Linked DNA regions of Rhinolophus ferrumequinum. The protein of the gene in region 1 purifies or fractionates together with the protein of each later gene. This does not show direct contact. Links are inferred from orthologs where the notes say so. Each region holds a gene or a part of one and is shown in the gene's direction. Other genes may lie near its edges. The genes, in order: PRR3, RPUSD3, DHX37 and METTL17.

What was found.
Region 2: the proteins of PRR3 (region 1) and RPUSD3 purify together in Homo sapiens (co-immunoprecipitation; 3 studies listed by BioGRID and IntAct, with this or other methods). This does not show direct contact. The link is inferred for Rhinolophus ferrumequinum from reciprocal best matches to the Homo sapiens genes PRR3 and RPUSD3.
Region 3: the proteins of PRR3 (region 1) and DHX37 purify together in Homo sapiens (co-immunoprecipitation; 3 studies listed by BioGRID and IntAct, with this or other methods). This does not show direct contact. The link is inferred for Rhinolophus ferrumequinum from reciprocal best matches to the Homo sapiens genes PRR3 and DHX37.
Region 4: the proteins of PRR3 (region 1) and METTL17 purify together in Homo sapiens (co-immunoprecipitation; 3 studies listed by BioGRID and IntAct, with this or other methods). This does not show direct contact. The link is inferred for Rhinolophus ferrumequinum from reciprocal best matches to the Homo sapiens genes PRR3 and METTL17.

The regions. Positions count from the first base shown.
Region 1 is NC_046286.1:1,191,948-1,199,874, forward strand, and holds the start of PRR3 (proline-rich protein 3), read left to right. Parts: upstream 1-4,921; 5' UTR 4,922-4,949; coding exon 4,950-5,169; intron 5,170-5,817; coding exon 5,818-5,880; intron 5,881-7,777; coding exon 7,778-7,927. Other genes in the region: GNL1 (guanine nucleotide-binding protein-like 1), read right to left, coding at 493-687, 1,092-1,187, 1,343-1,550, 2,262-2,333, 2,451-2,602, 2,756-2,892, 3,256-3,421, 3,838-3,910.
Region 2 is NC_046300.1:44,073,601-44,081,553, forward strand, and holds the start of RPUSD3 (mitochondrial mRNA pseudouridine synthase RPUSD3), read left to right. Parts: upstream 1-4,948; coding exon 4,949-5,073; intron 5,074-5,385; coding exon 5,386-5,525; intron 5,526-6,416; coding exon 6,417-6,461; intron 6,462-6,593; coding exon 6,594-6,693; intron 6,694-7,386; coding exon 7,387-7,494; intron 7,495-7,572; coding exon 7,573-7,657; intron 7,658-7,862; coding exon of another isoform or gene 7,863-7,875; coding exon 7,876-7,953. Other genes in the region: CIDEC (cell death activator CIDE-3), read left to right, coding at 409-571. UniProt on the Homo sapiens protein: Catalyzes uridine to pseudouridine isomerization (pseudouridylation) of specific mitochondrial mRNAs (mt-mRNAs), a post-transcriptional modification necessary for their translation.
Region 3 is NC_046308.1:3,412,455-3,420,034, forward strand, and holds the start of DHX37 (probable ATP-dependent RNA helicase DHX37), read left to right. Parts: upstream 1-4,573; 5' UTR 4,574-4,668; coding exon 4,669-4,774; intron 4,775-6,153; coding exon 6,154-6,323; intron 6,324-7,157; coding exon 7,158-7,270; intron 7,271-7,580. Other genes in the region: BRI3BP (BRI3-binding protein), read right to left, coding at 1,735-1,941. UniProt on the Homo sapiens protein: ATP-binding RNA helicase that plays a role in maturation of the small ribosomal subunit in ribosome biogenesis. Required for the release of the U3 snoRNP from pre-ribosomal particles.
Region 4 is NC_046289.1:71,894,817-71,902,624, forward strand, and holds the start of METTL17 (methyltransferase-like protein 17, mitochondrial), read left to right. Parts: upstream 1-4,805; coding exon 4,806-4,958; intron 4,959-5,105; coding exon 5,106-5,259; intron 5,260-5,347; coding exon 5,348-5,482; intron 5,483-6,357; coding exon 6,358-6,439; intron 6,440-6,697; coding exon 6,698-6,779; intron 6,780-7,089; coding exon 7,090-7,163; intron 7,164-7,611; coding exon 7,612-7,706; intron 7,707-7,808. UniProt on the Homo sapiens protein: Mitochondrial ribosome (mitoribosome) assembly factor. Binds at the interface of the head and body domains of the mitochondrial small ribosomal subunit (mt-SSU), occluding the mRNA channel and preventing compaction of the head domain towards the body.

The DNA.
Region 1 (7,927 bases):
TCCTTGACAACAGATTTAAAGGATTCAGACCAAGAAAGAAACTAATACTTGTTAAGCTCCCCCTATGATTTCATGGCCCCTCTGCTATGGACTAATTACTCCAACTTCCAGAGTTAACACATACAAGTCACTTAGTCCAGTGCCTGGCACATAGTTAAGTACCACACAAATGTTTAGTTACTATTGCCATTATCACTGCTTGTCAGGCTTTGTTAGGCTCTCTCTTTCCTCTTCCCTTCACTCCTCACATCTGTTCTTTCACTTACGTATCAGTATTCCCATTTTAAAATCCAAAGTACTTAAAACTCAGTGGGTAAATACGTGTTCAAAATCAGTATCAACCAAGAAGAGGTGGGATTTAACTCAGGCATCCCATGGTCCTTCCACTACGGCACATGGCCTCCAGAGACCTGGAGCCTAATGACGTCTGATCAGCTCCCCTCTTTTCCAAACACGGGGGCCGCCACGCCACGCATGGCACTGCTCCCTTACCCACACAGCCGATGGTCAGCACCCCGTCCTTATAGCGCTCCCGGGCTGGGCCGGCCGGCTCCATGGCCGAGTCGGTCTGCTGCTCCACCAGCACCGCGGGCCCATCATCCTCTTCTTCCTCCTCACCGGAGCCATTCCCCCAGCTGGCCCCAGCCACATCCCGGGCAATCTTCTCCCGCCAGCTGCTCAAGTCCACTGCTCAGGGAAGAAGACAAAGAAGGTTCTCCCCAGAGCCACTGTACGTGACGGCACAGACTATACTGCACAGCTGATGGAACTGGTGCCCTCTGGAGTTGAGTAGTGCCAACCTGCACCACAGCCGACTCTCCCCAGCCTTCACTTGACACCACCCTGGAATCACATGCATTTCTCTGAGTTTTCTGAAAAGTCCTGGGAAGCCTGAAGGCAGCGACCCTGGGGCTCCTGCCGACCTGCTACCTCTCCTGTCCCACCAAGTCGGTCTGCTCCCTCTTCCACCCCTCCCCCAGCCTCTCGCCTGTGCCAGGATAGAGGAGCTGACTTCGGAAAAGGTGAGTAAAACGACTCTGGGCCTTGGGTCTCCCGATGACCTGTCACATCTCCCTCTAAGAGGCACAAACCTTTCCCTGCAGTGATGGCTTCACAGGCTCTCAGCAACTGCTCGGGCCCCAGGGCCCGAGTCCATCCTCTCCCCCGCCTCCGACTCTTCTTCAAGACTGACATCGGAGAACACAAAAGGGTTAGCACACCCCACCTGTCTCACCGCCCTTCGGTCCAAGATCTGGTGCCCCCTTGTCAACAAGCATCTCTGCTCTCCCTTTGTCCCCTGCCACCCCATCTCTCCCATGCTGCCCTCCTCACTGCCACTCACCACTACTAGAGTCCTGTGCGGTGCGGGGGTCCCGAGGGAAAGAGGTGAAAAGGACGACATGGAGCTGGGGAAAGTGTTGGTGAAAATAATGCTTCCAGGCGACCGCGAGAGCCGGCGGGGCCAGGTCCACCTTGTTCAGGACCAGCACCAGGCCCAGCCCAAGTTCTCCAGTCACGTACTCGTAAAGCGCTGGTGGGAAATTCACAACCTGGGACAGGGATGGCAAGGGAATGAGCAATGGGAGGTCACCCCAGAGTCCTCTGCCTCTAGCTCAGCAGGCACAGCTTGGAGACAAGACCCTGGAGGTGGCAGATTCTGGGGCAAAACAGGTAAATTAGCTGAATTGAACTAGGAAGACAAAGCAGAGGTAAGAAGCACCTGTGCACCTGCGCAGGCATGTGCGTGTGTGCACGCCGTTACGGATCTGCAACCTGCATATCCCCACAGACCCTCCCTTTCTCCCACTGGAGGACAACAGGAAGTGGCAGAGCGGGGTCACACAATGGCCATCCAGCAGCAGAGTCTGGAGCCTTAACCGCTACCCCAGCATTCCAGGTCAGCCTCGTGCTGACTAATGGGCAGGGCACGGGAAAGCCCCCAGCTGCTTTCATGGAAGCCCCTAGAGCTCCACTCTAGGACCTTCTGTTGGTTTAACTCTGCTGGGCTGGGAAACAGGATGTGTAGTTTTTCATCAAAAGAATAAGAGAGGAGAGTCAGTTAGCCAGGGAAGGAATGACAGTCTGGGACACTGGTGAGTAAAGGACTGAAACCCTGACTGCAGACATCAGCACGGGGTACACGAGAATGTGAAGGAAGAAGGATACCTCTTTGTCTCCCAACTCCTGCCTCTGCCCTTGACCCCACAAGAATGTCCCCCCACCCCCACCTCCGGCTTTCCCAGCCTTATCCCAGTACTCACTGGGTGTCGGATATCAGTGATAAGCAGGACAATGTCAGACATCTCTAACACTCGCCACAGCTGCCTCCACGTCTGAAAAGACAAGGTCAGCAGAAGAGAACCTGAGCCCAGAGTCCCTTTCCTGCCTGACGCCAAACCAATCTGACCCTGGGTCACTACACCCTATTCTTGTCCCCACTCCATTCTCACCTCCAGATTGTGCTCAAAGTAGCTGAGTTTCTCCAAGGTGTAAGCCCCATGAATCTTCCCAAGATATTCCTGGAAGCTCCGTTCCTCCTGGCTCATTAGTTGCTCCTTGGACATCTCATAGCTCCAAGGAGGACGTCGGGGAAAGTCCAGGACTGGGAAATCAATAAAAAGCCCAAGGGAGTCTGAGGATCGTGTCAGGACTGCAGGGTGCATCCCAAACCCCTCCTTCCTCACAGTCAGCTTTCACTCCTCCACAGCCCTTCCCCCAGCCCAGTGCCTATCACCAACAGCCAGCTCTCACCCACCTGAGCCAGGCTGGTAGACCTCCCGGATGTCCAGCTCCAGCACTTCAGCACTGACAGGCTGCAGCACTTGCTCCCGGGCTGCTCTCTTTCTCCTCTCCACCTCCTCCCGGCTGTCCCTCTCAAAATGCAGCCGGTATCTAACGGGACAAGGACCACAGCATCCATTACAATCCTGTGGCCACAAAAAGACTCCCCTCTTGGGCAGACAACTTACCAAAGCTTTCTCTCCAAGGTTGTCCTTTGAGTAGGCCCTCCTCCAACTCCCTCTTTCCCGCAATATTCAGCCTTCCCCTAAGTCTTGTACTTCTAAAAGCCAAGCTCTCTCCAGCCCCTCCGGAAGGGAAGATTGTGGCCGCTCCCTGGAGCCCAGTGCCCGCGGAGAACTGTGGCATCCCAGCCACACCACCTCCAGTTTCAAGCCAGCGGCTGCTGGCTAGCCCCCAGTGCTCTGACTTTCTGGTAGGCGGGGAAGGCCAGGCCAGTGCCCCCCGCCCACTCACCGATTTGGGTCATAGCCTCGCGGACCCAGCCCCTGGGAAGGCTGCTGGTTGAGCCTACGGATGTGATGGGTCACAGACTCCCCGTCCGAGGTGTCGGTCTGCTCCTCCCGCCGCTCCCGACTCCCGCTGCGGCTGTTGGAACTGGATCGCAGCCCATCTTGAAGCCCTGAGGGGAGGAGCCGGTGACGCCAGTGCTGCCCGGCTCTCAGGGGCCAAAAGACCCCCTCCCCGTTGGATCTGGCTTCCCCTCACCCCACCCCACTTCTTCAGAGGCCCGATTCTCCCAGCCACCCTGCTGAGGACCCTCCTAGATGTGCGTGGGGGTAGTCACTCCTCCTCCAGGGATCTGCAGGGATGTTGCCCGTTCGAGCTGGAGGGATTCCCCTCCCCCAACTCCCCATCTTTCCCCACCCCTTCCATGTAGGGGGACTGGAGTGAGGGAATCCCCTCTGCGGTCACCCGCGCGCGACGGCTCACGGCCACCACCCCCTCCCACGCCCCCCAGAGGCGCGGCGGGCACACCCCTCCTTTTAGATGTGCGGGAGCCCGAGCCCCGCCCCCTCTTCTCTCTCCCGCACTGACCTCGCTTCCGCTCCCGCTTGTCCTGCAACTGCTTCTTCTTCTGCTTCACGCTGAAGGGCTTCTTCCTCGGCATGGCCCGGACCAGTCACCTGGCCCTCCCTCCGCCGAGCTCCCGCCGCCTCAACTGACTACACCCTCCCCGGGCAGTCCCCGCCGCAAGGGCCCGGGACCCTCGAGGGGGCGGAGCTAGAAGGTGACGTCAACGGGCGGGCCCGGCCGATTTGCCCCAGTAGCTGGGCTGGAAGGAGGAAGGGGGGCGGAAATACAGTCACTTCCCTCCCGGAGCTAGGCGAGATGATGTCGGGTGGGCTCCCCGCATGTGAGAGCCGGGGGCACGGAAAGGGCGCAGCGGCCGCGAGGAAGGAGGCGCGCGTGGGAGGATCGGGCTCGCATCGTCACGGACGCTACCAACTCACGGTCGATAGAGGGGGGACGCGTGTCACCACCACCTGGCGCGTCTGGTAGAAGCTACCACTCACCTGGAGGGGGCGGTGGAGCGGGGGGCGGGTCCTACCACCTGCGGGAAAGAGAGGCGTGGACGCGCCGGAGCTGCTTTGCCTGCCCCCGGGCTTGACCTGGAGTGGAAGCCGAGGCTGCGCGCGGGGGAATGGAGCCCAGTTGCTGTTTTACACTGGGGGCAGGGTCAGAGGTCTTGAGGATTGGTGGCGGTCTGAAGCGTCCAGGACACCGCCCTGCTGGGACCCAAATTCCTGGTGGAGGATAAGAAGGAGCAGGTTTACAGATCACAGGGCAAGGGTGGGTGAGGAAGGAAGCCCTGGTGGGACAAGGACTTTGGGGGGAGGTCAGAGGTCACGAAGTTGTGCCTGCTGCTGTTACCATAGTAACCGGGAACCGGATGTGGCGATCTTAGCGTGCGACAGCCCTCTTCTCAGACCTTCCCGCCGGAGAGCCTGAGAACTGTGTTGCACACTGTGGAGCGCTGGTTGTGGAGTTTTTTTCAGCGAGGGGAGAAGAGAGGAATTTTTTAAAAACATTTATAGAAGCGCAACGAAGGGAAAGTTTGAGATTTACGCCTTCTGGCAGAAACAGAGGGTGGCAGCTTACGTGAAAATGAGCTGCACAAAGGCTCCCTGCAGCCTTCCGGAAGTTAAATGGTGGGAGCTTCAGCCTCGGGTCCACAGCCCCCACGGAAGCGGAAACAGAATCTCAGCGTGCCCCTTCCTCACCGTCTTCCAAATCCCGCTGCAGCCATTGCCGCAACCACGATGCCGAAACGAAAGAAGCAGAATCAGCAGCAGCAGCCGCCGCAGCAGCAGCTCCCACTGCTAAAGCGGGAAAAGACTGAAGACGAAGAGGATGGGATTCCCATCGGTGAGGAGCCCGGGAGGAGTGTGCACATTTCTGCCAGCGGTCGGGGCGAGGGGTTAGGGGCTGAAAAGGTGCGAGGAAGTGGGCTCCAACGGAAGGAAGAAGGGCGCACGCGCTGGGGCAGGGGGTGGAGGGCCTATCCCGGATGGAGCCTTGAAAGAGTTGAACCCTCAACTTCAATCTGGCCTCTAAACCTTTCTAAAGAAGGCAGGGGAGGACAGGATAAAGAGCTCGGCCCTAGAGAGGTTGCAGGTTGCATGACCAGGATAATTTGTGTCCAGACTTTCACAGGGAAGGTGGAAGTGTATCTTTCTCTAAACTACAGGGGCGGAGGGGAGCTATCTGGCCAATTAGAGAAGGGTTGGATTACCTCTGGATGTTTTGGGTAGCAACAGTGTCAGGGAAAGAGTCGTAGGTAGGTATTCCTCCCGCATTATCCCCCTTGACCGAGTCTCCACTTCTTGCCAATCAATCCTGAACACTTTTGCAGAGGAAAGAGCAGATAGATGGGGTGAAAACCTGTAACACAGCTGAGAATATACCTGGTTTTACTGGTTGATTTAAGAAATGAGTAATAGAATAAAAACTTAAGAATAGGATCATCAGTCCTTTAGTCCATTATGATGACCATATTTTCATGTCTACTCTTAGGACCACCCAGCCTTCTGGGCCCTCCCCCCATGGCCAATGGAAAGCCTGGTGACCCCAAGTCAGGTGAGGAGGAAGGGGCCCTGATCTTTTTATTAGGTCCTGGAAAAGGGAGCAAGAGAGGGACTAAAACCCAGGAAGGACTTAAAATCAAAAGATCAGAATTTAGTACCTAAATGAATGAAGAGATGTTGTATATTCACAGATTGGAAAACTCAGTGTTGTAAAAAATGTCGATTCTTCCCAGATTGATCTGTTGATTCAATGCATTCCCAATTATAATCCCTATTTTGTGTGTGTGTGTGTGTCTGTGTGGAAATAAACATTCAACATTATTATATGGAAATGAAAGGATCAGGGTAAGAGATTGCAAAGGCAGGCTTGAAGTGCGAGGGGTTGCTGTGAATATTAAGACTTATTGTAAAGCTATAGTGGTTGTGACGGTGTAGTGTTGGCGCAGTGGTAGACACATGAGTCAATAGAATAGCATAAAGAGTCCAGTAACAGGCCCACACATACGCGGACACTTCATTTATGATGAAGATGGAACTGACATAGTGGTCTTTTCAGTAAATAATGCTGGATTAATTGGATATTCGTGGGGGTGATGAAATTTGACCTATTCATACCATATGCAAACATCAATTCCAAGTGGACTCTAAATCTAAGTGTAGAGGTAAAGAAATAATTCTAGAAAATAAATATATTTCATGGTCTTAAAGTAGATAAGAGTTCTTAGATAGGAAACACATCAACCATAAAGGAAAGATTTATAAACTGAACTACACTAGAAAATAAAAACTTCTATTAATCAAATGACACTATTAAGAAATTAATAGGGAGCCATAGAGTAGAAAATACTCGCAACAAATGTAATCAATAAAGAGCTTGTTCTAGAATATATATAGAAGTTTTCTAGACAAACTGTTAGAAAAATGGGCAAAAGACCAGAATAGCCACCTCATAACCGCAACCTAAATGACCCAAAAAACATGAACAAGAACATTAGTCGATAAATAAATGCAAGATAAAAACATACGACTTTGAAATTGAAACGCTTGTGCACTGTTGGTGGGATTGCACGGTGGTACACAATGAAAAACAGTATGAAGGTTCCTCAAAAAATTAAAAATAGAATTATCTTATGAGCCAGCAATTCTACTCCTGGGTCTTTATCCAAAAGAATGGAAAGCAGAATCTTGAAGAGATATTTGCATGGAAGAGATTGTTCATGGCAGCACTATTCACAATAGTGGAGATGGTAGCAACCTAAATGTCTGTTGACAGATGAATAGCTAAACAAAGTGTATGTTTATACAGTGGAGTATTATTCATCCCCTCAAAAGTGAGACAGTCTTGTCACATGCTACAGCATGTATGAACCTTGAGGCCATTATGCTAAGTAAAATAAGCCAGTCACAAAAAGAAAAGTACTGTATGATTACACTTAAGTGCAGTATCTAAAGTAGTTCAATTCAGACACAAAGAAAATGGTGGTTGCCAGGGGCTGGGTGGCAGTGGAAGAGGAGTGTTGTAAGTAGCTATAGAGTTGCAGTGTTGGAAGATGAGAAAGTTCTGAAGATGTGTTGCACAACAATGTTAATTTACTTAACACTACTGAGAGGTACACTTAAAAATAGTTAAGGTGGTAAATTTAATGTTACATGTTTTACCACAAATTAAAAAACAAAAACAAAAAATACTTCACACTCAACAGAATGGCAGAAATGAAAAAGATTGATTAATACCAAGTGTTGTCAAGGCAATGAAACAACGAACTGCTGGTGGCGGTATAAATTGGTACAACCACTTTGGGAAAAGTTTAACTTTATCTATTAAACTTGAGCATACATATACGCTAGGACCCAATAATACCTCTCCTAGGTATATATACTCAACAGAAATGCATACATATGTGTAACGACATGTACAAAAATGTTTATAGCAGCATTTTTCCTTATAGCCCCAAACTGGAATCCACCCACATGTCCACCATCACTAGAATGGATAAATAAGTTGTTGTGTGTGCATGCAATGGGATACTACACTGCACTGAAAATGAACGAGCTCCTGCTACAGGCAACTTGGATGAATCTCACAAACATGATGTTGA
Region 2 (7,953 bases), on another chromosome or scaffold:
CAAACTGGTATCTTCATGCCCAGGACTCTGAAAAATTAGCTTGACTACAAATGACTTGGAAAGGCCTCAGAATCTAGAACAGACACTGGGCAGAGTTATGATCTTCATGTTATGTAGACCAGTCTGATTGGTCCAAAGTAATACTACAAAAATAAAAGGCCTTGTTAAATGAGCTTGAATTTTGCATGAGAAAATAGAGAGATTGTGGACATCTCAGTTAAGATACAATTGCAGGTAATGCCTGTAGCCCCTTTCCCATTTGCTGAAGGAAGGCAACCTCTGTTCCTGTTTGCACATCACTCTACAAATGATGAAATTATGAAGGGAGCATGGGGAAGGAAGTATTTAGGGGATGCAGGCAAGGGTTTTCTTTGTGTTTTGACTCTACTACCTTCTCATTCCACCCAGGGAAGCTCTTCGCTGGGCCCTCTTTAGCATGCAGGCCACAGGACACGTTCTGCTCGGCACCTCCTGTTACATGCAGCAGCTCCTGGATGCCACAGAGGGAGGACAGCCACCCAAGGCCAAGGTCCCATCCCTCATGCCAACCTGTCTGAAGATACTGCAATGAAGGCCCAAGTCCTCAGAGGCTTTCCCCAGCTGAGGACTAGACTGGGGACCCCATGCGCAGCTTGTAGCACCCAAAAGCCTGGCAGAGAGCTTGTTGCCTCCCCACACCTCCCTTACCCCCACAGGACCGTGAATGTGGAAGCAGGGGGAAGGGCTGGAAACCTGGGGTGGCTGACCAAAGGGTACTGAGGCTTCTTGGCCTGGCCCAGCTCCTTCCTGCACAAGGTAGCTTAGCTGACCAAGACTGGTCACCAGCAGGCTAGGCATGAAGTCTGCCCTTAGACGCCTGTCTTCACTTGCTATACTTTCATTACACTTCCTACCTCCTGGCTCTTATCCCTAATACTCCTGAATAATAAGGCTCACTAATGTATTATATGAGAGAGTTCACAATAAATGAGTTATGGTAATACATCTTCTTTGCCTGTGTTCTTGGGGAATGAGGGTGGGATTCTATCTGGAAGGTTGAAAAAGTCCAAGGGAAGAAACAAATTTATTGTCAAATCATTCTCTAAAATGTGGCATTACAGGAAACAGCACTTCTTCTGCCAAAAAAAAAAAATTTCAGTTGATTCTGGAACTAATGTCTGCTTAATCAAAGACTTGAGCAAACCATTTAGTCCATAAAATAAATAACAATTTCCAAAACAAATTTGCCTATCAGAAGGGCTTTGATTGGCAGGGTGGGATTAAGGCACTCTTCTAATTTCTCATTGTTGCATTTTATTACAACTTTTAAGTGTTTAGGTGGGAATGTACTAACCAAGGTGTAATCCAGCTCTCCAGCAATGTCTTCCCTAGCTTGCCAGGCAGTTCAGAACTTTCAATCTTAGGATTTCAAAACAGCTGTTAGCCACCACAAAGAATATTAATTTCTCATTAGTGTGGGTTTCAATAGAGAGCAACTCAAACAAGACAAGCATGAAAAGCTAGGTTTGTAGGTGATTGTGCTTTAATCTGTGACTCAGATTTTAAAATGTGTCATTTCTGACCATTACCATGAAGGCTATTTGGGTTTATTAAAAACCAAAACAAAGGCTTGCGTTACCAAAGGTAGAGCTGGAGAGTTATTGCTGGCAGTGGACTCAGACCCTGCAGCCATTTATGGGAGGAGCTGCCAGAGCTAGCAGAACACTTTCTATTCTGGGCTTTCCTGCTTTTGCAGTTATGGCTGGAGCCCGGGCTCAGTGCCATCCTGTCTCCATGGGCTGGGCCTTCTGACGTGGAGGCACGATGACCAGAAGCTATTCCTGGTCAACCCTTGCCTAGGCTGTGGCCTACCTGCTCCTCCTATAAAGTTAATCATACACTGAGTTGGCTGGGGTGACAGAAGCTTGGAATTTGTCACCACACCCCCTCCTCCTGAGATTCAGAGTTTCACAAGTGCGTTGAGTGACCAGCTCTTGGCACTGAGCCCTTCCAGCCCAGGAAAAATTAGTTCTTGCTTTTCTTCGAGGAGCTCGGAGGCGAACGGAGTCACACAAGATGTGGGCAGTGAACAGGAAAGGGCAGCCTTTGATGAAGCTGTGGTGTGTGGAAAACTCCAAAGAGCAAGGGAGCTCAAGCCTGGGCAGGGCTAGGGGCCAGTCCAAGTTGGGGACTGGCCCCTCCGGGAGCCAAGCACCGCCAGTGGAGGAGAGGTGTGTTGCAGTTAAGGCAGGCTGTGTGCCAGCCCCACGGCCTTAGTCTTTCCATCTGGCTCAAAGCTGCTGCTTATGAATGCACAGGAGACCTTCCAGAAAAGAGATTCTAAAATACCCTGGGGCCTTTTGACAAAGCAGAGTAATGTCCTACCCCAAGCCCAAAACAAGATAAAAACACTTGTAGTCTTGCCAAATATCTTGCCAGTCTTTATACAGAGGGTCCCAAGAAAATGTATACACATTTTAAGAAAGGAAAAAAAAGTATGAAAATGTAATACTATATACCGATAACAAAAGATGAATACAAGTCATGTGTATATATTTTTTGGCAACCCCAGTACTTATGCATTATCTATTTAAAAATTGATTATTTAAATATTTGAATTTAAAAACAAGTTTCTTGAGATATAACTTACATACAATAAAATTTACCCTTTTAAAGTATATAATTTAATTAAATTTTGGCAAATTGATACATTTATATAACCACCACTTCCAGCATGCCAACGGCTCCCTTTCTAGTCAATCCCCATCCTCCCACCCATCCCAAGCCCTTGGTAACCACTGACTATTTTCTGCCAATATAGTTTGCCTTTTCTAAAATGTCATTTTAAATCAAATCACCCAATCTTTTAAAAAATTTAGTTCTACCCATTTTTATTTTAAAACACTTTTATTATTTAAAATTTTTTATGAATCTTACAGTCTTTTATATCTGGCTTAGATTTTTAAACTAGGGGTGTGTGTGTGTGTGTGTGTGTGTGTGTGTGTGTGTGTAGAAGAAATAGATCAATGAGATAAAAAAACTTAAGCAGTTTCAAAGGGTAAAACTAATTGTTACTTATCTTCTCACCTCTGATTCCTTCTCCAGAAGCAACCACCATCTCGTTTTGTGTGTCCTTTTAGAAATGCAGGAGTACATGAATATAATATATATAAATCACACACACACACATATGCAATCATGCACTTCTTAACGACGAGGATTTTTCTGAGAAATGCATTGTTAGGCCATTTTGTTGTTCTACGAGCATTATAGGCTGCACTTACCCAAACTTAGGTGGTATAGCCTACCACACATCTAGGTTAATGATATAGCCTATTGCTCCTAGGCTACAATACAAGCCTGGATAGCATGTTACTGCACAAAACAACATGAGATTAAGCACAAGAAAAAATGATGCAATCAAGAGAGGTGGCGAGCATGAGGTATGTGAGGCTGCTGCTGGTATAACATGGCATACTATTTTACAGCTAACTATTTTTTATAAGCAGAAAGAGTACACTCTAAAATAACAATAAAAAGTATAGTATAGTAAATACATAAACCAGTAAAATAGTCATTTATTATCATCAACTATTATGCACTGTACATAATTGTATGTGCTATACTTTTATGCAACTGGCAGCGTGGGTTTGTTTACACTAGCATAGCCACAAATGCGTGAGTAATGCATTGTGCTATGACGTTGTGACAGCTATGATGTCACTAGGTGATAGGAATTTTTCAGCTCCATTACAATCTTATGGGACCACTATCACGTACGTGGTCTATAGTTGCCCTAAATGTCATTACACGGCACATGACTGTATGTATACAATATATGCATATTCTAGTCACACTGTCCTGCACTTTGCTTTTTTGACTTAATATATTCTGGAGATTGATTCATATCAGCACATGTAGACCTACACATTCCATAATGGACTGTATGTGCTACAATTGACTTAGCCACACCTCTGTTGATGGATTTAGGTTAATTTGAAGTCTTTTGCTAATGCAAACAAGGAGTTGAAAGTTACAGTGCTCTTAGTAAACAAAATAATACAAAGGTTGCATGTAATTTCTCTATAGTTGTAATTACAGGATAGACTCCATTTTGTTCTTTGCTTTTTTTTTAATTAGCTCATTTCTCCTGTTGTTCCCTCTCTCTGCCTCCTAGTGAATTTCTATTAGTTCTTCACAACCTGTCAATCACAACCCATGCTGGGACACCTTTTCTGACTTCACCTTCCCTGTCTCCTCTCTTCTCTCAGCCTTTTCCCAGGGTTTAGCAAGGTGCGTCATGATGTTGTGATCTGAACTGTGTCCCCTTGGTTTCATTTCTTGTGCGTAGGGCCTAGGTCTTGTTGATCTGTGTTTCCAGCTCACAAATGCCAGGGCCTGGCATAGAGTTAGCATTTAAAAAAATGTTGAATGCATTAGATTTATTTCCCCTGTAAAGCTAGCTAATCACAGGACAATTTATGTTCCCAGTTTTGAGAGTTGTTTTATTTGTGCTTTGATAAATAATGCTGTAGTGAATCTTTTATCTTTTTCTGCCTCTGGCCTTTTACTCTTTTTGGATTATGCACCAGGCTGTTCTTCCACGCAGGGTCACTGGACCAAAGGGTATGGATGTTCCCCGCCCCCCCGCCAATTTTCTTGGATCATATTGTGCACAACACTGGTTTTTTTGGTCAGAAATCTCCTACGAATTGAAATGGTAATCAGAAAACCTTAACCTCTCGTCTCGGTTTTGTCCTGAGACAGGTCCCCTGACCCTGAGAAGTTCCTTCTTTGCCCTATGCCTCAGGTTCCCCGAAAACATAGGCACGAATCTCATTCCTGGGCGAAGGCAAAGCTCTGCCTGCTCACGGCTCTAAAGCCCCACCTTCTCGCTATTCCGATTGACAGTCAATCTGACCAATGAGAGAGCTGTGGGCGAGTTGGGGCGGGGAGGGGGTGCAGACACATGCGCACAGTCCTGGCTCGGAAGATGGGTGGCTGCCGTATTTTGGGCCGCGTCTCGGGTAGCTGGCGGCGAAGGCCAGAGATCCACGCCGCTCGCAAGGCCGCAGGCTTTGGCTCCGAGGCCCGGTGATTACACCGCCTCCCACTTCGTGTGGGAGGGATGGTGGGGCTGGGGGAAGATGTGTGCGGGATCTGGAGTTAGGAAGATAGGGGTTCTCATTCTGGCTTTGCTCTGTGACCTTACACTAGCCTCTTGGCCTCTCCCAGCCTCGGTTTTCTCGTCTGTAAAATGGTACCAATCAAACCTGAATTTTCGGAGAGCTCAGCCCAGGCTTTCTGAGGCATTTGTTAGGATTTGGGAAGAGGTGTGTGGCGCTAAGAGTGGGCAGTACCTCTGGAAATGAATGATTCCCCTGTTGCTTACCTCATCTTTCCCAGGCATCAGCTGCATCCCCGAGGCTCCAGCAAACGGTCGAGGCCCTTGGAGAACCAGCGCTTCCCAGGGCTGTTGCAGCCAGAGAATCTCAGTCGGGAGCAGTTGATTGATGCACTGAGGGCATGTGTGTTGGACCAGAGAGGTGAGGGTGAGAGGGAGCGCTGCGCAGAGCCGCAGGAGAGTAGCCTCCCTCCAAGCCTTCCGGGGGCTGTTTGGGCTCCCCACTGAAGCCTCTGGGGTCAAGTCCTGGTTTTGCTTCCCATCACTGGCATGATCTGGGACGAGCCACATCCTCTCTCTGAGCCTCAGCATGAGGGTGGGGGTGTGGGGTGGGAGGGTGTAAAGAACTAGAGAGTCTCGAACACAGTAGGCACGCACGCCCCAGTGGGAATTGCTCTAATAAATTGCTTATTGATGGACAAAACACTGTCTTTGGAGTCAGATGTGGGCTCTGCAATCAGCTTGCTTTGTGGCTTTAGGAAGAAGACAATTTCTCTGAGCCTCAGTCTTTATTCAGTGATTTATTCATTTTCTCAGCTATTTATTGAGCATAGGCTATGTTCCAAGCACTGTTCTGGACACAGCCATACAGTGCTGAACAAGATAAATACGGTTCCTGCTCTCAGGGAACTGACATTTTCGTGGAAGAAATGGATTAAACAGGAAATAAAGAACAAGATACTTACTAGTGATCAGTGCTGTGAACGAAACAGGGTGTTATGCCGGTGAAGAACGGTAGGAGCAGGGCAGACATTAGATTGTGGGTTTAGGCCTCTGTGGTTGAGCTAAGATGAGATGAAGAAGCCAGACATGTGACAATCTGGGACAGAGAAAACATCCAGTGCAAAGACCCGGAGGTGACAGTGAGCTTAGCATATGCAAGGGACAGAAAGAAATTCAGGTCAGGGTGTGGTTAATAACTCATGTCTGAGAGTTGTCGTGGGGCTACATGATAAGATGAATTGAGAAAGTGCTTTGTAAACTCCAGCTGCTGCTTTTGCTGTTAGTGATGTTCATGTAACATATGTTTCAGGACCACTAGTGACGCTGAACAAGCCACAGGGTCTGCCAGTGACAGGTAAGGGCAGGGGACGGAGATGCACTAAAAGGGGGTTTGATGTCTCTGAGGGAGGGAATAATGAAGAGAAGGGGATGGTGGGGTAAAATTGCCTCTGGGAGCAATTTGTATTTTACCTTTTTTCCCCCCCAGGAAAACCAGGAGAGCTGACATTGCTCTCCGTGCTGCCAGAGCTGAGCCAGTCCCTGGGGCTTGGGGAGAGGGAGCTCCAGGTTGTCCGAGCATCTGGGAAGTAAGTGGTGGGGGCGATAGGAAGACAGGCATCCATCTGTGTGGTTGGGGAACCGTTGCTTGAAAATAAGCCAAGATATTTTCCACAGCTGGCTTGGGATCACAGAAACAGGATACAAAGTAAAGGCGGGAGCAGACAGATCTAGGTTCAAATCCTCAAGTACAAGCTGTGATCTTAGCCAAAGCATGAAACCTCACTGAGCCTCAGTTCCATTACTTAGAAGATACAGCTACTGACCCCTATGCTGTGTATATAGTCACTTCTCCAAGCCCACACTCATGGCACGTGGTCCATGATGTTCTTTCCTCTAATAGCCATCACTTAGAGATGGTACTTGAGAAGAAATATTTCTGCAATTTCACAACTCATGGGTTTATCTGTGGGGAATTTAATTATTTAAGAGCTAATATATATGAAATTACTAGGATAGTAATGCACATGGTCAACTCTGAGAAATTGGTAGTAATTGTTGTGATGTTTGGCTCTGAGCTCCCTGGGGGCCAGGGTAAAATGAGAAACACATTGAGCTACATAGCCCTATTATAAAACACAGGAAGCTTCACTTGTTTCTCAGAAGGAGGTATGGGTAATACTCTGGTGTTGCTTTTTGGCATTAAGCAGGTCAGTGTTCCTCCCTTTCTTGTGGGTGAGCCCAAAGGACTTTAACTTTTGTCATTTGTCTCCTTCCTCCAGGGAGACCTCTGGGCTTGTACTCCTCTCCAGTTGTCCCGAAACAGCAAGCCGCCTCCAGAAGTTTTTCACCTACTCACAGAGAGCCCAGAGACCCATAGCCACCTACTGGTAAGTGGTGCTGGGAGGCAGCATGGCAGTGGGGAGCTCCCAACAAGCTACTGTGACCTCCTCCTGCCTCTTCCGTAGGGCTGTCACTGATGGGATCCCAGCTCCTTCTGAGGGGAAGATCCAAGCCGCTCTGAAACTAGAACACATTGAAGGCGTCGATCTTGTGAGTCAGGGTCTGGGTGGGGAAGGGGAGGAATCTCTGACATATTACCCCTACAGAGGAGTCAAGGGTACAGACTGGGGGTGGCTGGCTCTTCTGTCCCCTAAAATAGGCAAGTGAGCACTGCCTATACTATGGCCCTATCCTGAGCCTATTGGGAGCAAGGAGGGTTTGGGTGTAGCTCCCAGGTATGTGTGAATTCTTGGAGGCTGACATCACAGGTAGTTCCAGTGAAGTCCCCATCCCGAAAGGACATCCTGGAAGGTGTCAAGAGGACCCTCAGCTACTACCGTGTGGTG
Region 3 (7,580 bases), on another chromosome or scaffold:
AGGATTAAATGAGTTACTCTAATGATGAAAGTACTTTGCGCCTTTTAAGGAAATAACAGGAGATAGTATTACCATCATCTCTGTTGGAGGCACAAACTCTGGTTGACCCCTAAAAGAATTCTTCGGACCCCCAGATTCTCAGATTCTTTGCCAGAATACCGCTGTCTTATTGATCCCAACCCAGAAGATAGGCCCTTGCACATCGGTATTGTTATTCATGTCCGTGGACCTCAGACTCTCACACAGAACCCTCAGCTGACACATCGCTTCTTTCTGCTTATCCTGCACAAAGAAGTAAGACTTCCTTCTGCTCTAAAACAAATGCTTTCTGCTCTCCAATCGCCCAGGGCAGGCAGTCTCACCTTGCTCACATCCTCTACCACCGACAAAGAGTTCTCTCCTCCGAACCCACAGCCTCCCCAAGAGGCATCCACACACCCACAGGAGAGGATGGTCAGACGTTCCTTTCCCCAACAAAATTAACCTGTCTTTCATTTCATCCAGTAAGAATATCCAGCCAGTCTGATTTGGGTTTCAAGGTTCTTTTTTCCCCCTCCATCTCAAGCACCAGAAAACGTTTTTGAACCCTGAAGGTCCTTCCAGCAGGGCTCAGCAATGCTGATTTGTACCCTAGCTAGGGTGGAACTGCCAACAGCAGCTGATACCAACTCAGCCATTACTCTGGCCCACCACTTACAATCAGTCTCTTACTGAAGGGGGTGGTATTATCCCTATTTAACAAGATAAAGAAACTGAGGCTCAAAGAAGGGAAACCACTTTCCTAAAGCCATCAGGCATGTAAGTAGTAGAGCCAGAACTTGAAGCCAAATAACAGAGCCCAAACTTCAACCCAAACTTCTCTCCATTCCAAAACGCCAGGACGCGCGCAAAGGAGTAAGAGGAGGGCAAGAGCAGTACTCAAGGAACCACATTACCACATGCAACTGTCCCCCATTTACTTCCCCTTTCTGGGGAGCTACTGGTGGCCTTTTGCCCCGAACTGCGTGCCTATCCCACCCAGCTCCAGCGGACCAATCGTGGAGTGGGGAGCCTCCCTGAGCTCCTTCTGAGGTCTCAACATCACCTCAGGGGGCTGCAGGCTCCTAAACGGCTTCACAGTGAACAAAACGCTTCAAGTAAAAGGCCTGGCACACAGTAGGCGCTCAGGAGGGTTAATGAGCCAGGTTGCCAAAGCAACAGAACAGTACGCATCGTTCCCTTTCTTTTCTTGTAAATTAAAAAAAGAAAGAAAGAAAGAAGCCTAAACATCTTAAAAGCCGGAGGAGGAGGGCCTAAGGTGCTCAGGGGAAGAGAAGAGCGCAGCAGCGTGGGTAGAGGGCGCAAGCGGGCAGGGCGCCCCCTGGGCACCCAGCACGGTGCCTGGCTCATAGTAGGTGTTCATTCAAACGTGTTGAATGAATGAATGAGAGGCGCGGTCGGCGTCAGCGCTGCCCAGGAGAAGCCCGGCTGCTCCGCCCTAGGGGGCAAGGTCCAAGGAGAAGTGCAGCGTGGAACAGACGGCGCCCCGCGGCTTTGCACCTGGCCCCAAGCCGGAACCGGCCACCAGAGCCGACACTGGCCAGGCAGGCCTCGGGGCGCAGGCCGGCCACCCCCGTCCCCGGACTGGGCACCCTTCTTCCACGCCGCGGAGGCCGCGCACGGCCCAGGCCGGCCCCGGCGCCAGGTGCGCGGCGGCCGGGGCAAGGTGACCGCGGGCGCGGGCCCGACACCCACCTTCTGAGCGATGCGCACGTTGTCCTCGCCGAACAGGCTGCTGACGCTCTGCGAGAAGGTGTTGACAGTGCGGCGGTAGCTGTTCTTCTCGGTGCCGCCTCGGCCCCGCGCCGCCTGCGCGCCGGGGGCCAGCAGCCCGAGCAGCAGCGGCAGCAGCAGCAGGAGCCCAGCCCGGGCCTGGGGCCCAGCCGAGGCGCGTGCTCCCATCCTGGGGCCGGCGGGATGCAGGGGTCAGGAAGAAGGGTGAGGGCCCTACAGAGGGACGCCGCGGCTCCGGCGGGGACCGCGTAGGCGCGCTGGAGGACCGCGCGCCGCGCTGGTGCCCGCCGCTGCCGCTGCTGCGCCACCTGCCCCGCCCCGCGCGCAAAGGCGCGACGGCCCTGCCCACGCCTGGCCCCGCCCCCAGACGCGGGGACCAGCCATGGACCTGGCCGGAGCCCGCGGGACTAGGTTGAGGTTGCTTTGTCTCCCCGCCCCACCCTCCAGAAGCCCTCCCTGACCTGGTGAGGTTTTAATCTTTTTTTTTTTAAATAATTTTTATTTTTAGCTTTTCCGTAAAATGCAACCCATGCCTGGAAAACTTGCCACAGCCTCAACAAAGATAAATGGCTGCAACTGATTGGAAAACATGAAATATATATATACATATAGATGTATCATTGAACTTAATGGTACCCAATAATTGGCCACCGTTGCCGATGGCAACGGCACCAGCTCATTCATTAATTCTGAAATGTTTAAATAAAGGGAAAGCATCTAGCATCCTTCTTGCCTTACTGAAAGAACTGTATTTCATTCAGAGTCACAAAATATTTGAGGGAAAGTTCTTTTTAGAAAAGTCCAGCTAGTAAGTGAGGAAGGAGTGACATAATTAGAAACTTATTTTGCAGCCGGTAATGAAATGATAGGTCCAGGCGACGATCATGCAGAGATTAAAACCGAGAGTTGGTGGGGAACTGGATACTGGAGGGGCCAAGTTGTCCAGCCCTGGACCCGCCAATCTGTAGCAGGAAGTACCAGCGCCACCTATGATGGATTCCTGCCAAAACCCTTTGAGCCATAACCTGATCTGGCCCCTAAATCTAACGAACAGTTTACCGGAAATACAGGGGATGGAGAAAAAAACAGAAGCAGCAGAAGCAGTCAGCCAAATCCAGAATGGGGAGTACTGTACAGGACCAACGATCCAGTTTCTTCGATAAGTAAATGGTATAAAAAGTGAAGGGAGGGGAGGATTATTGGTTTTAAACGACCTAAGAGCCATAATAACCAAATGCAATGCAGGGGCCTGTTTGCATCCTAAATCAAACAAACCGTGTCTAACCAGACATTTTTGAGACAGCTTGCAAAATAAAACTTAATTGTTGCCAACCCAAAGAGTGAAAAATTGTATCTTATTTTTCTGGCTTCCTGATAAGGATTTAATATATTTATTGGCCATGTATTTTACCTTCATTTTTTAAAGTAAACTTTTAAATTTAAGAATAGCATACAAGCAAAAATACACAAATCATAAGGTGTCTCTCTATGAATTTAAACAACACCCAGGTAATTGACAAGACAGGTATGGGACAGTAACCAGGACACAGATGGAGAAATGGAACATTACCAGCTTCCCAGAAAGGTTCCCTTTATCCTCTCCCATTAACTAGCCCCTTCCAAAATTTAAGGGATTCGTTTTGCCTGTTTTTGAACTTTATGTAAATGGGGTCACAGAATATGATCTTTTCTGATTGGCTTCTTTTGTTCAACATTATATTTATGAGATCCATGTTGTGTATATGTCTTTTTCTTCTTCCTTTATAGAATGTTCTTTATCTTTTCTAAAGATAATGTTTTGGTATATAATATTTTAGAGGAAAATATAGGAAAAATGAACACATTTTATTTAATCAACACATTTAAAGAAGAAACTGGATCGCTATTATCCTAAAGAATGAAAATACAAGTTTGATATGTTAATTATACTTTTTTTCAAAAACCATTGAAATTAATATATAACTTCAAAAAAGTGTTCATATGTGTGCTACCTAAATCTTTATGCACCAACTGTGCATTTGTGGTGGCTCGTTTTTTGTTTGGGGGGAGGTGGGGACGCTTATCCAAATTCAATCACACCATTCATTCATTCATTCCTACATTCAACAATTATTTATTGCTTACCTACTCTGCAGCCAGATCTTATTCTAGATTCTTCAAATGTTTTTCCTGGGACAGTTTTAAAAAAAATAACTTTATCCTTTCAAAAATTCTAAAATGACTCCTAGCGCCTTCACCTTTCTTTGTGATATCATTTAAATGTTTGCCCTTAACGAATTAATACTTTTAACAGAAAAAAAAAGTCGACATGATATTACTGTTCTATTCACAAGATAATTACAGGATTCAGAAAATATATTATTTCCGAGTGCGCTGCAGACAATGTGATGTGTAATGAGAGTTTAAAGCTAATAGATGCTTTCTCCTTTTAGTTGTGTCCCAGTAATGGAAATATTTAGTCCCTTTTTATTACACAACTAATGTATGTTACAGGAATATCAGAAAAAAAGAAATGAGCAAAAAAAGGAACAAGTTTGTATTAGGGATGGGGGTATATTTTAAAAGGTGACAAAACACTCCCACTTCCTAGTGGCCCAATTAGTAGTAGTAGGTAATTCAAATTCAGAGACTCAGACTACACCACGTGAGAACAACCCTGGGTTTAATTAGGCCTCTGCTGGGACCGCAGGCCTCTACACTCTTTTAAATTGGCCCGGCCCCGCTTTTCCGCGTGGCCCCGCCTCCAGCACCGCCCCTCGGGGGCCAGGTTAGTCCCAGCTCTCGCGAGAGCGTAGCCCGGAAGTTTTCCGACCTGAGCGGGTATCCTGGGAACCCACGAGGGCTGGGTTCAACCCACGGGTGAACTCCGCCGGAGCCGAGCAGGACCGGGGCGCCATGGGGAAGCTGCACCGGCGGTACAACGTCAAGGGGCGCCAGCAGGCGGCCCCCGGCTCCTCAAAGGGCCCCCCCGAGCCGCCCCCCGTGCGGCTGGAACTAGAAGGTAAGGCGTCCCGGGGGCTGATTTCGGGGGAGGGGCCGACCAGGGCCTCGCGGCCGGGGCTGGCCAGTGGGCGCCGAAGGGCTCCCGGCCTGTGTCTAGCTTTCGTGACTCTGGGGCGGGAGGACCTGGAGCGGGAGCACCCCCTCTAAGATGATACAAAGGAGTGGGGGACAGTGGCAGGCAAATTTTAACTGAATTCGGACCGATACCTGGGTGTTCCCTCGCTTAGAGTCCAGCCCTAGTATAACAGCATGGGGACTTGGGGCAAGAAAATAAGTTAATTTCAGCCATCCCGATGGCTTCTGTTATGATCGTGCCGGCGACTCCTAAGTTTGTATTCTAATCCCTGACCTGTCTGCTCAGCCCCGGGCTGCTAGACACAGTATTTTAACATGTGCGCCTACAAGTGCCAGCAACTTCTAGGCGCAGGAGACAGAACAGAAAAGATTTAAGGGGGGAAAAGTTTCTGCCCTACTGAGCTTAGCTGCTTTTGGAAGGAGACAGGCAAAGACACACATGTAAAATATATAGAATGTTATGTGGATATAAGTCCTGAGGAAAGGAAGCCGCAGAGGTGTTTGGGTGGGTTGTGATGTTTCATAGAGGGGGCGGGGAAGCATTATTTGAGTCAAGGTCTGAAGGTGGCCAGAATGGCTGAGTGGAGATGAAATTAAAAATGAGGGCAGGTTCATGGAAGGCTTGTGGGTCATGGCGAGGACTGTGGCCCCAGGAAGTAGCTGCGTTGCTTAAAATTGTCTCATTTTTCTTAATGAGGGCCACATACCCTCTCCTACACTTTGTGATGTACAAAAAGATGTACAAAGCCAAACGGGTAACAGAAGAATCAGGTAGGGCCCTTATAGGACGCTGCTGGGGGAACTCCAGTGTTAGATGTTGCACACAAAAGGGCACTCCCCAAGATTCCCTCACCCCAAGGTGCTTCAGTAAGTTGAGTTGCAGAGTAATATGATAGCTGAATTTTGATCTACATTATATACTTTCAAACTGTGACATTTAAAAATAGATATGACACAAACTCAGTACTTGGTCCGCTGCATGCTCTGTAGAGAACGTCGTAGTAGTATTACGAAAACAGCTCGGACTTCATACCCACTCAGCGCAGGCCCCACTCCGAGGGAAGCACTGTTATAGCCTGTACCCCGCTTACTGGTACTCCCTCTTCACCCGCACTGGGATGGAGGTGGCTGGGCCCGCACTCCCCCACGCCGCCACCCCCTGTGCCGGTACTCAGGGGCTCACAGGTGGGGCAGGAGTCCCCAGAGGAAACCGGCATTAATGGAATCCTGAGTTTTGCCAGTGCCTGAGTTTGGCATTCCTTGGCCTCTGGGTCTGTCGGTCAAGCAAGCCTGTCTTTTCAGAGAAGGGCACGTTGAAAGGAGTTGACGACAGCAACGTGCTCGTCCTGCCGGGGAAGAAGAAAAAGAAGACCAAGGCCCCTCCGCTGTCCAAGAAGAAGAAGAAGCCTCTGACCAAGAAAGAGCGGAAAGTGCTGCAGAAAATCTTAGAACAGAAGGAGAAGAAGAGCCAGGTATGCCCACTCTGTCAGCGTCTGCACACGGCTCTCCAGACTGGAGAGAGTGAGAGAGAGATGGAGCCAGAGGGAGGTCCAAAAATGGGGAGACTGAGAAACCCCAATCTCGAGGCTTCTTCATGAAATTCATGTTTGACTTTCTCTCAAGGTGAGCAGGGTGCTGGGTCTCCAGCAGGGGACACACAGGTCAACCGTTAGCACTGACGCTCAGCCCCTGGAGCCCTTACTACAGGGGACACTCACTCTCTGGTGAGTGTGTCCTTTTAAAATCCTGTGCAGTATTTTTCCTGCTGTCCAGTACCTTGTTTTTTCCTTTTATTGATTGTGAAATAGACATACAGAAGCACATATAAAATACGTGTAATTTCAAGAATAATAAGACAAAAACTCATGAATCACCAGGGGAAAGAAACCACTGGGCCCGTCCCCACATACTGCTTTACTCAAGACAGCGTGGGGACCCCTTCCTGTCACGCGGAGCTGCCCCTGTAGTAACGGCGGGATGTGCTGCCTTGTACAGATGGGCTCTCCTTTATTTATTCCGTCTCCCATGGATGGGCGTCTGTCTACTCGACAGTCTTCTCCTATGCCACACAGTGATGCAGAGAGTGTCTTGTTTACCCAATCCCAGACTTTGTAAGGGGGTACAAAGCCACTTCCAGCTCACACGTCTGTTGGCGTAAAAACACCACGCAGCAGTGCAATGCAGTTTGACCTTCGGTTTAAAAAGACAGGGTGTTGGCCATGCTGAAATTTTGTGGAGCGTCTCACTTCCCTTCTGAAGAGGGAGTCGTGATGCCAAATGTCTAACGCGCTCATGTCCTTCCCCAGCGAGCAGAGATGCTACAGAAACTGAGTGAGGTCCAGGTTTCAGAAGCGGAGATGAAACTCTACTACACCACGTCCAAGCTGGGCACTGGGGTCCGCATGTACCACACCAAAGAGTAAGTCGGCTGGCCACTTCCGAAGCCCATCCCTCCTGCCAGGGCCCCTGGGGACGGACTCTCGGGTGACAAGTCTTCCAGAGAAAAGACGTGTGCGGTGGCCTACGTTCTGTAATGCTTCAGTGAATAGAGGCCCCAGATGCTGCTAAAAACCCTGCGAGGAGCAGGACAGCAGAGTTTTCTACTCCAGTGATGTCCGTGTTTCCCTGCAAAGTGGGGTCCTGTGTTACAGGTTCTTCCAGCTTTTGCACACACGTTGCCGTCAAGGGGCCGAGGATTAGACTTGGCCCATTAGCAAGTTTTGTTTGGT
Region 4 (7,808 bases), on another chromosome or scaffold:
ATAGGAAACTGCTTATAGCTCTAAGGCACATGGAGACAAATCAGAGAGATGCCAGGCAGCTAACATTGGATACATACTGTGATTTGTGTGATTTAAGTATTTTTAAAGGATGTCTCATCCTGAAGTAAGTTTGTTTTGACATAGTGTTTTCACCTCACCTTGTCAAATTATGAATATATTGTTCCTTTAAAAAAAATCTCATAAACATGTTTATTTAACTCTTGTTTTTAAACATGTTGTTGAGAAACCATTTTAAAAGTAGATTTGTGTTTATATCTGAAAAATGAGTAATGTAAACATGTTGTTTGTTTTGGGGAGGAAGTCTGGAAGAACTGATGAGGATCTAGTCTCAGGCTCCTAGCTGCAGTCATCCTCAATCCCCCCTAAGACTTTTAGCAAAAAGCCTGAGCATCCACCCCATCACCGAACCTGGAGCATAAAGCACCAGTCTCCCTGAACTTCTACTGGGAAAGCTGAATCAAGTTTTCTGCAGACCAAGACCCCAAATCTTTGAGGGCACTCCAACTTCTTTGTGCAGAAATGGGGAAGAAAATCCTGCAGGTGGAGGTCACTGATGGGCATCAGCCCTAGGCAGCAGCAGCAGCCTGGCACAGACACACTGACTGTTCCTGTCAAGTTGGTGTGTGTGTGTCCCTATTTCTCTACTTCACACATTCACTTGCTCCCTGCTCAGCTAAGTAACAGAAATAAATGTTGCATTAATCAAGTGTGTGTGTGTCATATTTTCTCTCCATATTGCCTACACTTTGAAATCCTGAACCTAAAGGTTTTACACTTAACCTTGAGTTTTTACTCAAAATAAAACACATATCCTTTCTTCTTGTAGTTCTTGGCATGCTGAATCTGTGAAAGCCTGTGCAAAACTTGAAGGAACTGTCCTTTGAACCTATCTGAGGAAGTAGAGCTGGAGAAGTGGATCTGTGTGGCTCTAGAGAAGCTATGAAAATGCACTCCTCAGACCTCATGGGAATCATAATTGACCAATGGCCCCAACAGCCACACTCTGAATCTGCTATGCTTCCCATGGGCCACTCTCAAACAAAGACTTAGTGCAGCAGTGATACTACTAAGTCAGGCCCATTTCTACAAGATGCAAGACTCCTCTGATGGTTACCTTGGGCTCAAAGAGTCTCCATAAGGCTGGCTGAAACATTTCTAGAACTGTTCCTACCAATCCATTTGCTTTCCCTCCCTCATTACAGTCTGACTCTTCCTGCCTCTTTTGGCTTCCTCTCCCTTATCCCCTCACAGGTATTTCTCCCAATAAATCTCTTACAAATCTAATCCCACCTTTAATGTCTGCTTCGCTGAGAACCTACACTAACACAGACATGTCCACAAAACAGATTAAAAATGTAAGCCATGATTTCAAAATAAGCTAAGAAAATAATCCAAGACATGAAAGAATAATATGCACCAAAATTTTAAAAAATTCAGGAAAAAAAATGTGACACAGGAAAAGTTACAAATAAAAATCATTTAAAAGATAAAGACTGATCTAGAAGCAATTGAACACAACAAATGATGGCTTAAGAGAATTGAAGATTTTAAAAAACAGCAAAAAGAAAGAGATTTTTTTTAAAGGTACTATTTAGGACCTTTATGGCAGAATTTCTTTAATTTCCCAATAAACTTATTCCAGTTGCTTCACACCTTCATTGTTAAGGGTTTCTCTAAATCTAATTATTAGCTACCTCCCTTTTTCATAAACCCAGTGGAGAAGACCAGTTGATCATTATCCATCTCTAACCAAATTATCCAAACCTTCCTTAGAGAATCTTTTTTATTTTCCTTTGCTTAACTTGGAGATCGGGCATTTCTCTTTAATACTGTCCAGTTTCTCCCCATTGACATCTGTGCTGCTTGTTTCTTTGTTTGTTTTGTTTGTTTTGTTTTGTTTTAATGCAAAGCCAATAATTGGAAATACTACCCAGGTCAAAGTATGACCAGTGTTGATATGCAGAATTCATGGATGAGGAATGAAATGGGTTCATCTGTGCTGTAGGGGATTGTGACCTGGTCAAATAACTAGACTTGGATCCTCAACCTAGTCTATCCTAGGCTTTTCCCAGCATGAAAACAAAGAGTGGTCACTTAATCAACATCATCAACAAATATTTATTAAGTGCTTTCAATGTACAAAGAATCATGTTCACTGTTTTAGATGTTTTATGGACATCCTCGATTCATGGGGAGAGTGGTATGGAAGTTTTGCTTTGTTTTGTTTTTATGAACAATACTTTGGATTAAGAACAAAGACATAAATTTAGGTCTAAGTCAGCTTTTGAGATGTATCACTGAAGGAAGGGAACAATTTCAATTAGACCAGTGTCAGAATGAAGGAAGCCACATCTATGTTGGCAGTTAGATTAAAAACAACAACAACAACAACAACAAAACACCAGGAGGGATATTTAGAGGCACCACCAAGTCCTCCTGCTCTTTACTTCTTAGTCACCAGTGCTCAATCTTACTTGGCCCCAAGTAGCCCCAGTTTCAAGCCCATCTTGGAAATAAGACATGAATTCATAATAAAAATTAAAATATGATTATGTTCCTTCAAGCTCCCAAAATACATGTGATAATACGTATGATAATATCATAAACATTGAATGTTTACTTTGGCCAAACACTATCTCATTAAGTCCTCACTCCAACAACCCTGTGAGGTAGCAACTATTATCTTGCTGCTCTAGAACTCAAATCCAGACTGCTGGATTCCAGATGCCAAGTATCTTAACCCTATGTTCTGCTACCTCCCTATGACAAAAAATTAACATAGCCAATCTTATGTTCCAGCTAACCTGCAGTGACAGGAATATTTTATTTTGCTAATACTAGCAGTCCTCCATATCCATGGGTTCCATATCTGTGGGTTCAACCAACCAGGAATCAAAAATATTTTTAAAAACAACAACAAAAAAAAACCCCAGAAACTTAATCCCTAAACAATACGGTATAGTAAATATTTACATAGCATTTACATTGTATGAGCTATTATGAGTAATCTAGAGATAATTTAAAGTATAAGGGAGAATGTGCCTAGGTTATGGGCAAATACTATACCATTTTTATATAAGGGATTTGAACATGGAAAGATTTTGGTATCCACGGTGTGGGGACAGAGTCCCAGAGAGCAGCAGTTTCCAGGCTGTCCGCCTTGTGTGGGGAGGTGATGGCTCTGATAGTGAATGACCATCAACTGTGATTGGTTGGCCATCAGCTGTAACCGGTTGGCCAATTAGCTACTGATGTAACTGCAGGGCTGCATTGATTGGTTGGTTGGTTGGCAGGCAGGGAAGTGAATGGTGGACTGCAGATCATGTGGCTACTACTGCATGTGTCTCGCCCAGCTGCCAGAGAGAATATAGTCGTATGACTCCCCTACCTATGGCTCCGTGGATGTTCCTTTTTGGCCTAGCTACATCCTGCGTTCTTATGTGGGGAACGGGAGCAGAGACCCCGCAGGCTGCCCCACAGGACACATGGCACAGCGAGCAGGATCTCCCGCATGACACATGGAGTCCTGGAATCAATTCCCGGTAGATACTGTGGGATGACTGTACTTGAGGCAATAACTTAAAGTAAAAGCAATGTGTCACAGAGATGAGGCTGTGTGGCAGTGTGAATCAAAGTGGGGCGGGGGGAGAAAGAAGGTGGTGAACTTGAAAGGGAGAGCAGTGAGTGGGGAATTTACAACAGCTGTCCTAAGCAACCCTCAAGTCTTCTTCCAGAGCATTTGGATTATACAGCAAAGGCCTCCTATATTAGAATCAAGCTTAATAACCTAAACGCAAACCAGATATTTAACTCTGCAAGTGATATAGTTACCCATATTTTATTCCATACTTAACATACTTGGACTCTTGCAGCTACAGCAAAGGCCATAGGTTTGTTTACCCATCCAGTCACCAGATTAAGATACACCATAGCTGACTAACGTGTTTGCTATAGGAATCGAGTGAGTTCATTCTAATTCTACATGTTAATTTAACACTTCATAACATTTAGCATATTGTTAATTTGCTAACTTACATTCAAAATACCAACAATATGTGGTAGGGCATATGTTTAAAACTGAAGCTGACTTAAGACTGCCTAGGTTTGAGTCTAGTTTTCATATAAGCTTTGTGATCTTGGGCGTGGTATTTAACCATTTGAAGACAGCTTTCTTCAGCTGCAAAATGGAGTTAACAACGATCTATTTCAGAAGACTGGGGACTAAATGAGGTGAAATGAGGGGACTAAATGAGGGGATTGATATTACTTGAAAGTGTGTTAGCTATTTATCTATGAAGACCAGTTTAATATGAAGAGAAACTAAAATATAAAAAGCATTAAATCTATTAATTTCCGTTCTTTTCCGTCGCCTAAATCTGGCTTTTATCTCTTCTTTCTGTTACTGCATTTTCCCCCTTTTCAAACGGAGAAGAGAACCCACTACTTCAGAGTTCTCCAGAAAGAAAGAAAATCAAGGGAACGCAGGCAGTTAACACATCCAGAAAACAGCCTGCCAGTCTACAGTGCGTTCCTAAAGACCCAGGGTAGGGCACGCCACCACCCCCTATCACCCCGCGCCCCTGAATTTTCGGATGCGGAGACCAGTCCCAAAGAAGCCTTGAGGCCACCTCGCTTCCGGCGGGTTCCTGTAGCAGCGACGTCCAAGTCCCACCCACGCACTCTTACACTTCAAGGTGATTTACATATCGATTGTTTATTGGCCACTCGCATGCACTCGCTCTCCTCATTGGCTGATACTGTCCCATGCCGTCATTCCGGGGAGGATGTCCGCCTGGGCGAGTGAGACTGAGGGTCACAGATATCTACATTTCCGTTTCCGGTTCGCCTCCGGCGCCATGGCGACCAGGAGCGGCCCGAGGTGTCTTTTCACATTAGGCAGATGGCGTCGTGGTCTTGGTGTAGCTCCGCAGTCCCGGGTGAGTGCCTATTGTCACTGCTTTGGGAGAGACTGGAGCTCTGACACGGGTCTGCTCCGAGGAGCGCTCCCGGCAGCCCCTCCCTTAGCGAGCGCCCGCAACCTTCTCTTCCTGCCCGGCAATCAGCTTTTCTTTTCCGGCTTGCAGGCTCTCGCTGCCCTTGTGCCCGGCATATCCCAGGTGGATAACAAGTCCGATTTTCTGGGGAAGAGGCCCCATCGCCGGCACCCCGGCATCCGGCAGCTGCCGCGGGTGCGGCTGCCTCAAGCACTGGCTGACACCGCGCAGTTACTGTTGCTCGGTGAGTAACGGTAGGAAAGGGAGGCTCGAGAGCAAGCGGAGACTGGGCCTTCATGCAACTGATGCCGCTTTTCATCTTTGGCCCATAGAGAATCCAATACCCAATGTGGAGAAGCAGGTGCAAGCACTGACCAATTATCTCTGGAGCCGGCATGTACCCGTAGAGCCAGAGGAATTGCAAAGGCGGGCTATGCATCTTGAGAAGAAAATCCTGGAAAACCTAGGTAGGGTTTAAGAATAACTAAAAAGTAGGTCACATTGAAATAACAATGGGAAATGAAGAGCCAGAAATAATTTTAGTCTCTCAAATAGATACTACAGTTTCTTATTTGACTTTCTGGGCGGTTATTACAATGATGCCTTACTAAGAGGAGCTAGATTATTCCAAAGATTGCCCTCCCGGCTTTGGTGAAGGTCAGTGAGGGCTTTAATATCCTGTTGAAATCTAGGTCTTTGTTTTTTTTCCTAACAAATCCACTGGATTAGGACTAAGTTTTTATTCAACTGAAATAAAGCCCCTGTATGGCTCCCTGTCCAGTGCCAAACCCCTCTTGAGGGACAGGAGAATAAGTATAATTTGTCAAGTTATTATTTTCATGATTGTGAGCTCCTTCATATTACAGACCCGGCTTGTTATTCATCTTGTAGTCCCTGTATTACCCACAGTACCTGGCTTATAGTAGGCACTCTATAAAATAGGACTGAACTGAACGCTATCATGAGACTTAAAGTTCCTTTCCTCCGTGTAGGAACATTAGAGACGCACAATCTTAAGTTTTGGGGAAGTGAGGAAATGTACAAAATACTGTCCTTATCCTATTTTGTACATCTTTACCACGCTTCCCTTTAGTATAGAACAAAACCCGTGGGATGGGGTGAATTGAGTTGAATAATCTGCTGTTAGAGGCAAATTACTGTCTGATACACTCTAGTGGTAGTGGTGGAGGTCATTGTTATTCTCACCAGGTTTGGCTTCCTTAAGCTTTGAGGCTTTTCCCGGGTAGGAGTTGGGGCGGAATGGGCAGGCAATAAATTCAAATATTGGATCTGAGCCCTGTTCATCCTAGGTCCTCACTTCCAGTGCTTGTTCTCACCCCAGACTCATCTCAGACAGAGGAGAAACTTCGTGGAGCAGTGCTGCGTGCGCTGCGTAAAACTACCTACCATTGGCAAGAACTGAGGTAAGAGGGACTAGAAGGGTTACAGAGGAAAGAAAAGTTTGACTTTTCAAGGAGAATTGGAGAAGTACAATTACACAATTTTGTGTTTGAAAAAGCTACCTGGTTTCTAAGGCTCCCCAGGACTTTTCCTGTGTTGTAGTGTGAAAGTGATAACATGGAAGAACCCTTTCCAGAGATTTCATTTCCTAAAAAATCTAGAAGCAGCTATGGAATAGAGATTATTTCCCAGTGGACATGACTCTCTGATTTTTCTGGCAGCTACAATGAGGGACTGAGCCTGGTGTATATGGCAGCAAGACTGGATGGTGGCTTTGCAGCAGTCTCCAGGGCATTCCATGAGGTGAAAGCCCCTCAGCTTCCAACCTGAACCCTTTTACCATCGGTTCCCTTATAAAGTAGTCTTCTGGGGTAGGATTCTTGGGACATTGCATGTGCATTTTTTTAAGGGGCTCTCTTTATCCTCTGAAAGGATTTTGTGACCTAAGAAAGGTTTAGAGTCACTGTTTTAGGAGCTTCCTATTCTATAAAGTATTTAAATTGAATCTCAAAAGACATTCACATCTCCTCTGTCCTGGTCTCCTAATCATATTTACCACGGCCCTAAATAAGAGTCTGCTTACCCTACTGTGGGGTGTTGTATATTTCTTCAGATCCAGACTCAAATTCCAGAGTTCCAACCACAAACCTTGATGGACTTTGGATCGGGTACTGGGTCTGTCACCTGGTGAGTATCTTTCTCTTTATACATTCTAGTTTTAGAGAGCCATGCTTACACCACTCCAACATCAAGAGACTGGGGAATCAAGAATAGGAAAGTTGGGAACTAAAATGTTTCTTCCCTCAGGTTAGGCAAGGCATGAGAAGGTTTATAAATTAAGGCCAAAACTTAAATGTCAGGTGAAAAAGGACCGTGTATAGAAAGATAAAAAAGGAAAGGAATTTAGGGCATAAGTTTTGTATATCATCAAAATTTTTGTCTACAAGTAGTGTTTGAGTCTGCCTTTTTTTTTCTTTAAGGAGTTGTAAATGAAATAAGAAAATAACATTGTTAGTTTTTCCAACTATTTTAATATAACACTTTGTTTCCCCAGGGTGGGGTTGGTGGTAGAGGGATTTCTTGTAAGAATGACTTTTTGTCATGAGAACTGCTGATTTATATTTTGCCATCTTAGGGCTGCTCATAGTATTTGGGGCCAGAGCATACGTGAATATATGTGTGTGGACAGTTCGGCTGCCATGTTGGATCTGGCAGAAAAGCTACTGAAAGGTGAGCTATAAGGAAGGACTTTCCAAAGTTGAAGGAGTTAATAAAGCAAAGTAATACTAGAAATAACTTTATATTCAGGAGTAAAGGAGTGGGCTAAAAGTT